Linked DNA regions of Zea mays. Each later gene encodes a partner of the first gene's protein in a complex. Links are inferred from orthologs where the notes say so. Each region holds a gene or a part of one and is shown on either strand. Other genes may lie near its edges. The genes, in order: 30S ribosomal protein S6, chloroplastic-like; 30S ribosomal protein S31, chloroplastic-like.

Region 1 (3,678 bases):
ACGATAGGGACCGTCGCCATGACCGCGACCGGGATAGGGATTATGACCGCTCCCGCGGATATGACTCAAGGAGAAGAGAGCGTTCACGCTCCAGGGAGCGCAGCAGGTATTGCTGAATAATAGGCACACTTTTTTATTTGAAACCCTTGTGCCTCACATCGTTGACTGACCCAGGTATTTGTTTATGATTTCAGGCGCCATGAGAGATACTAAATGTTACTCCATGGCTGACAGATTTTGGATTGCTGGCGTCTGTTCTGGTTTGTGTTGTGCTTTGTGTCTTATCTTCCGAAGTTTCCTGTTCCTGCTCGAGAAATCCGAAAGCCAATCTGCGTTCTGCATCATGTCATGTCCTAGTGTCGTACTGTTTAGTTATATGCCGAGAACATCTCTTTCATCAAATGAATATTTGGAAACACCAACGCACTTGACGCTAAATGGGAATGAAGTGTGGAGTATTTAAACGCCTCTGAAATCAAATGAAAGTTGTACTTGTACGAATCTCTTCCACAAATTGCACTGTATATGCTTGTACTGTTGCAGATTTACGATGGGTTTGGACTGTTCTCCATCCCCGGAGCGCGCTCAGGCTCGACGCTACCTAGCTACGGACCTTTATTTTTGGTACCTGATGAAACATGATGGTTTTAGGAGGCGCGGTGTTTCTCTGGCGAACGATGGCCGGACGTCCATTTTCGAGAACCACAAGACAAGAAACATATTCAAAAAAAAAAAACTCAACAATCATGGCAAAGGTGGATTCTTGTACAGCAGATTTCTTGTAGTATGGTATGTGAACAAAACAGTGTTCAGGGCCTGAAGGCGGAGGAGGCAACCCGTCTAACTAGACGGCCTTCCGCTGGCGGACCTTGAAGCTGGTGGAGCGGATGACGTCGTCGTCGGCGTTGAGCTTAAGCTGCAGGGCGTCCATGGACTCCGGCTTGGTGAAGTAGGTGATGAGGAGGTAGATGCCGTCGTAGTAGGTGGACGGCAGCCCGGTGCGGCTGTTCCTCTTCCTGATGCTGTATGCCAGCGGGATGACACCGCGGTTGAAGACCTCCACGTACATGGCGCCGCCGGCGACGAGCAGCTGCAGCACAGGAAAACACCAAGCTGAGCTGGATTGGAATGGTACGCAGATGGCATGTGACTGATAACAGCGATTAAGGGCCCGTTTGGAACTAACAAATTGTTAGCTAGGTTAAACCAGCTAATGGACTGATTGTTAACTCACAAATTAGCTGAGTTATTAGGTAGGGGGTGTTCAAACCTCTACTGCTATATATTCAAGCTGTTCACCTGTCTTTAATCCGAAACGGTTTCTTGTCTCTATATATTACCGCCGCAGCATCTGACTTCAATGTGAACAAACTGATTAGCTCTAGACTAGAGTGAGTTTCTAACAGAAACAGTGCCTAACATACATGGTGAATTCAGGATAGGATGGCAATTAACTATGGCGGATCCACTTTTATACGTTTAGAAATCCTAATATTTATTGGATGAAATTCGAAACACTCGGAACCCTTTTAACATTCGTCTCGCATTGCTCAAGTATGATACCAGCCTGTCCAGAAATTATCATCTGTCTGCTCTCTCTGCCATCGGAACAGCAAATGGTAGCGAGATATGCAAGAGGCAGAGGTGAGCCGATCGAGCCGTGCCCGTGTTACGCTGCTCCATCCATCCAGTTAGCTATAGTGGCAGCCAAACGGAGCGGAGGCAAACGCAAATTACCTCCTCGTAGCGCTGGATGAAGGCGAGGCGCTCCTCCTCGGACATGTCGGGGCGGAGCACGACCATGGTCTCGTACTGGCGGAGGCCGGGTGGGCAGGGCGGCATCTCGCGCTCCTCCAGCGCCAGCGCGGCTTCCGCGGCCGACATCCCGAGGCCGCCGCCGCCCAGCCCTAGCCCCGGGCCGAACCCCGACTCGTAGCCGACCTCCTCCTCCTCGTCCGCGCCGCCGGCCGCGGACATCGCCGAGCCGCCGTAGAAGGACGCCGCGTACCCAGTGGAGACCGCGCGGGGGCGGGCGAAATGGGAGGGGGCGGGGGAGGGGAGGCGAAGCAGCATCGCAGCGGGCGGGCAGGAGCGGAAGGGCGGCAGCGCGGCGGACGCGGATGCGGAGGAGAGCGGCAGCAGTGCCATGGGTGGCGGCATTGGAGGGGCCAAGGGGAGCCGAGCGGCAGGGGGGCGACGAGCGCGAGCAGGACAGGAGCCGGAGAGCGGGAGGAGGCGCTGACGCTGTTGGCGTCGCGTCCACTCGATAGATAAGGATAGGACGCCACGCCCTGTTTGGAGTTTGCACGGATTTTCATATTGGTGGAAAAACGGCCGGGTTGCCAGTTAAACCAAAATTGTTTACAACGTTAACTTTGTGTGTATTTCAACTATATGTAGTTATGCATTTCTTCTATGTTTTATGTGTATGATTCTTTTGTTGTCATATACGCAGCATGTATGTTTTCCTTTATTTACCCATAGAAAAAGTATAAATTATTCTTTTAATTATACTAATTGATTATCTAAGTTTGCTGTCCAAAGATTTAGGCAGCTAAAATACAATATCAACAGCGGACCTATATTTTTTTAAAAAAATCTCGAACAGTTGAATTGACTAAATATAGAGTAGACCTAATCTTCTCTGTATACGAGATATAAGGGGCCTGTTTGGTTCAGTTTTTTTCTGACCAGCTTTTCTGAAAATCTGGCTGTAAGGAGAATCTGGCTGTGGGGAGAATCTGAGTATCATTACGATTACGTGTGGAGGAAAATAAAGTTGTTCATAGGACTCAGGATCTAGAAAGTGATGAATTCATACTATTACAACGACTTAACCGATTATGTGTTTATATTGATTTTGGATGGTTTTTGTCCCAACGAATTTTATAGAAGCTGGCTGAAAAGCTGAGCGTTTGGCAATCCGCAGCAGCTTTTGGTGGCCAGAAGCTGCTAGAATCCGAAACAAACAGGACCAAGATAAAAGATCTAGTGAATTTGAACACCGAAAAACTTTGTGTGAAGGTCTGAAGACATTCTATTGTAGGTCAATTTGACAGGACTTCGACTCTACTTTCTCACGACTTCTTAAAGGGGCCAATAGCCGAAAACAACTCCTTGTAGAGCTCAAAAAGTCAAAGTCATTTTTTATAAAAGAGACACGATGCTGAAATATGGCTTTTATTTTTGGATTTTTTAAGCTTTTGCTCCAAGTTTTGCTGGTGTTCTCATTTTTACCCTTAGTCGTGTTTTTTTACTTAGTTTTGTCCTTCTAGTGTTATAGAGTAGTAGGGCAAAACTAAGAAAAAACACGACCAAGGTTAAAAATAAGGAATGAAGCAAAACTAAGGGTACAAATTTAAATAGCCCATTTTTTTACTTACAAAAACTTCAGCTTCATAGAAGGTACTCTACTGACAATAAAATAAGGAGCTAGAGCCCTTCTAAAAGGAGCCATATCAAATGAAACAACAGTATGAGTTTATTTGAGATTCACTAAAAATAATTTAAATTTTTGAAAAACTTTGTCAAACGATCTAGATCCACTAAATTTATATTTACCAAAATGGGGGATCTAAAGGCTAGATCCACTCTCTTGGTGAAGCTTCTCAATGGAAGCTCCAACAACATAAGTTTGATAGAGTTGAGAAAAGTTATCGACCACTACCATCGATTACA
Region 2 (3,971 bases), on another chromosome or scaffold:
GTTAATTAGTCTCTTTGCTGTTAAATTTCGTGTAAGTTGGTCCTGCCGATGGAGAATCGAGCAGCTCCCTTTTTTTGTTCTATCAACTATGCTGTAATTCTGGCTATGTATCGGCAAAAACAATTCTATATGCTGAGTTGGAGTCGGCAAAAATTCATATATGCTGAGTTGGAGACAGCAACTTGTTTGGATCATATTTTGCTGAGACACTCGTGAGAGATTGGCATAGCAAGAGACCTGAAAGTGTTAGCTGAAGTTTGAAACAAAACTTACATCATTGCAACACATATTAATAACACAACACGATCATTAGTTCAGCACGCAAGATCTTTGCACATTGCTGACGTATGAATAAATCGCTAGTTGGATTTTGTTTTACCTGTTAGGGCTGGATTGTTCGGTTAGAAGAGGATTGAAAGAGATTAAATCTTATTAATCCCCTTACAAATGAAACGTGTAATCTCTCCGTTACCACTAGATGAATCATTTAATATCTTCTAAAAAAAACTTATTTCGACACAGTTTCATTTTGAAGAGAGTAAAGAACTCAGCAGCTGGAAAGGAAAATAAAGAACCCAGTCAGTAGTAGGAACATTACTAGCCAAATGAAAGTGTGGCAGCCTACCCATCGATAATTATAGGCGAGGAAATAATTACTTAAAATATGTAGTATTTGATTTGGTACAAACTAGGCCAATTAAGCTCAGGGCAAATATAAAGCAAGGCAGAACTCGGACAACCTATTCCAGGATGTCCTCGTCAATCTCGATTGAAATGATCTCCCCATCATCGAACTGATCCTTCCTTGGAGGAGCAGGAGGGGCAAAGAGCCGCGCAGGCCCAGTTCCCTTCTTCTTGTTGCGCGGCCTCGCCTAGACATGATCAGACAGCTAAATAAAACAGAACAGGGGGAAAAAACCAAAAATGCGATGTAAATTGTGCTGGAGCACTCACATTGCCATATGAATGGTTGAACCTTTTGCCCCTTTTCGTTTTCTTGTCCCCTCTCCCGCAGTAGACTGAGCAAGACCAGATAAAGTTTAAAACTGTCTGTCAGTCCACAGGATCATCAGTATTGATATAAACAGAGGCCAAAAGGGACAGCACCCCAGTTGGGTTCGTAGTACAATCAGAGAATAAAATCCTGAAGCAGGCTATGGACACTAGAATTTCAGAAATTGATTTCAAATTATGATTAACTAAAACTTCTTTGAAGTACACGCATGAGAAGCATCCATCTTTGACTCTCTGTATTAATAAACCAGAAACAAGTGTTTACAACAGCTGAGGCCAGTGGCAACAGAGACGACCAAAACTATAGGCGGTAGTGATAAACAAGAGATTCAGCTTCCTTGATTGGCACTCACTCCTGACACCGTGTGAAGTGAATCAGTCAACCGGTAAAGGTTTAATAATCTACTACAGTAGTAGTTTTCAGTTCATATATATGCTCCTGCTCCTCGATACCGTAATTTTTTCGTGTGGAACAACTTAAGCTCTTAAGAATCCAGTTTCTAGAAACTAGTTTATAAAAAAAAAGGTTAATGGTGTTTAGAATCACCTTAATTTTTATAAATTGATTTTAGCTAGAGAAGACTAGCTTCTTGGTTTTTTAAGAAACTAGGAATCCAATTTCTATAAATTAGTTTGGAACCACGTCAATTTCTATAAAAAAAACTAGGTGCTTCCAAACAGACCCTTAGGCCATGTTTGGAAGCAACCTAGTTTTTAAGAATCTAGTTTCTAACTTCAGTTTCTATAAAGTGATTTATAAAAAAACTGGTTAATAGTTTTTAGAACCACCTCAATTTCTATAAACTGCCTTTAGCTAGATGGGATTAGCTTCTTGGTTTTTAAGAAACTGAGAATCCAACTTCTATAGACTGGGACAAAAGCTAGTATATTTGGAACCACCACAATTTTCATGAACCAGTTTGTTAAAAACTGGATGCTTTCCTTGGTCAGTCTAGTTGACCCAGATCGACTAACAGCATCACAACCTCCATCTCTTCTGGGGAGTACATTTCAGTAATAAATCCCTTGACTATTTCATAAAAAGAAGAAAAATCCCGATTGAATTGGAACGAATTTCCCAAGTGTCAGTGTAATAGTAGTCATTGCCTTTTCTCCCTTATTGCGTGGAAAACAGTAGCCATTGCTCGTGACATGTGTTAGAAAGAAACTACTCCTACATCGGACAAAAACAAGGGGAGTGAGGAGGTAGCTGTTTAATTACCGTCAAGAACTGGAGTGACGGTGGCCGACAAGACGGCGCCGACGGCGAACGCAGCCCGGGCGCGGGGGAAGGCGGCGGAGGCTGCGAGCGCGTAGGAGGAGGTGGAGACGTAGGATGAGACGGCGCCGTGGTTGTGAGATGGGAGGGCCGCGGCGGCGGTGGACATGGCCATGCCCTGGACGGCGAGCAGCGCCATGGGGGCAAGAAGGAGCGAGCAAGCGCAGGGAAGAGAGACTAGTGTGCTCGGGAATGGTGGTGTGGTGGATCAGGTTGGATAAGGGATAAAAGGGCTCGCAGTTGGAGCCACAGCGCACATCTAAGATGGGCTGCAGGGCTGGTGTGGGCTGGGCCAGAAGTAACCTTATCGGCCATTACTGTAAAGTATGGTGCACACACCTAGCCAGGCCGTCGTCGAGTCTGGTCAGGTCTTGGATCCTTTTCTTTCTCTTTCTTTTTTTTGATAATTAATATAATTAAGATGACCAAAGCTTAGCTTTGATTCATGCTAACAGAAAACAAAACCCTAGATGCTCCAGCGTCGTTCTCCGGCCCGTGCTTCTCCTGCTGAGTTAGGGTTCTGGTCCTTCTCGAATCTCGATTTCGGCGGTGGACTGGTGGAGGCAGACACTTGAACCCATGGTGGCCGGCCTCACGGCACCACCCGTGCAAGGTGCCAGCTTTCCGGACTGGATGAGCTCATGGCTTGTGCATCAACAAACCCTGAGGGTAGGGTGAGCGTCAAGGAGCGGCCCCGAGCTGTCCCCCACCCCCGTGCAGGCAATTTTCGGTCCTGGAGCTGGAGTTAGTAGTATTTGGGAGCGTGTGGCTGGAGCGATTCCAATTCATTTCAGCAACCGAAATACCGAATGGAGGAGTTGCCAAGGTCACTGTCAGGCACTCACCTGTGCACTACTGTACAGCACAGATTGAACGGTCGCTATCAGGTTCATGTCAACCGAGCAGAGTTTCAGTTTCAGTGCCCAATCATGAATAAAAAACCGATGGCCAAAATGTAGTGGTGGGAGAACGCCTCAAGCAAAGTGCCTTGCACGGAGTGGAGACGGTTCGATGGCATGACCTGACCACATGTGTCTTCTTTCTTCTGGAACCTCTAGAAGGAGAGGAACGGATGAATCCTCAACAACGCTCACGATTATGAATGGTGCAGGTGGCCACGAGAATTGAAGACGATATATATAGAGCAGAGAAGTAGAGGCCCCCTGATTTCTTCATTCTGAACAGTCCGGCAATTCGCCAGACGAGAAATGTCAAGCTAGTATATTATATATAAAACCCGAGACATTTTCCTTCTTTATTTACAACCATTACAGCGAGCAACGCCACCATGCAATAAAGCCAGCGCAACGGCGTGGCATGCCCACGAGAGTATCGTCTGTTGGTCGGCAACGGCTTCGCTTTGCCAACTCGATCCGCAGAGGATGGTCGGCTGCGGGTAACCCTTGTCGCTTGTACGCCGCGTCTTCTTCCCAGACCCCCTTCCTCTTCCAGAGCTTCAGAGTGGGGGGTGGGGGGAGGAGCCTTGCTAGACTAGGTAGTCGTAGTAGACCAGCAGCATGTTGTCGGGGACGATCAGGGGCAGGCTGTCGATGAAGCTGAGGAAGTGCTTCACGTTCTCCTTCTCCAGCGTCACCGTGTCGATCACGTCGTCGTCGCCGGTGAGCACCCACAGGTCTCTGGACCGGACCCTCTTCAGGCTCCCGCGGCAGAACGGGCA

What was found.
Region 2: 30S ribosomal protein S6, chloroplastic-like (region 1) and 30S ribosomal protein S31, chloroplastic-like share a complex: the UniProt entries of both Arabidopsis thaliana proteins name them as parts of the 30S ribosomal subunit. The link is inferred for Zea mays from reciprocal best matches to the Arabidopsis thaliana genes AT1G64510 and PSRP4.

The regions. Positions count from the first base shown.
Region 1 is NC_050096.1:303,987,634-303,991,311, reverse strand, and holds 30S ribosomal protein S6, chloroplastic-like, read right to left. Parts: upstream 2,276-3,678; 5' UTR 2,161-2,275; coding exon 1,738-2,160; intron 1,091-1,737; coding exon 845-1,090; 3' UTR 721-844; downstream 1-720. UniProt on the Arabidopsis thaliana protein: Binds together with bS18 to 16S ribosomal RNA.
Region 2 is NC_050098.1:170,389,927-170,393,897, forward strand, and holds 30S ribosomal protein S31, chloroplastic-like, read right to left. Parts: upstream 2,491-3,971; 5' UTR 2,433-2,490; coding exon 2,237-2,432; intron 1,020-2,236; coding exon 955-1,019; intron 873-954; coding exon 741-872; 3' UTR 528-740; downstream 1-527. Other genes in the region: putative RING zinc finger domain superfamily protein, read right to left, coding at 3,780-3,971.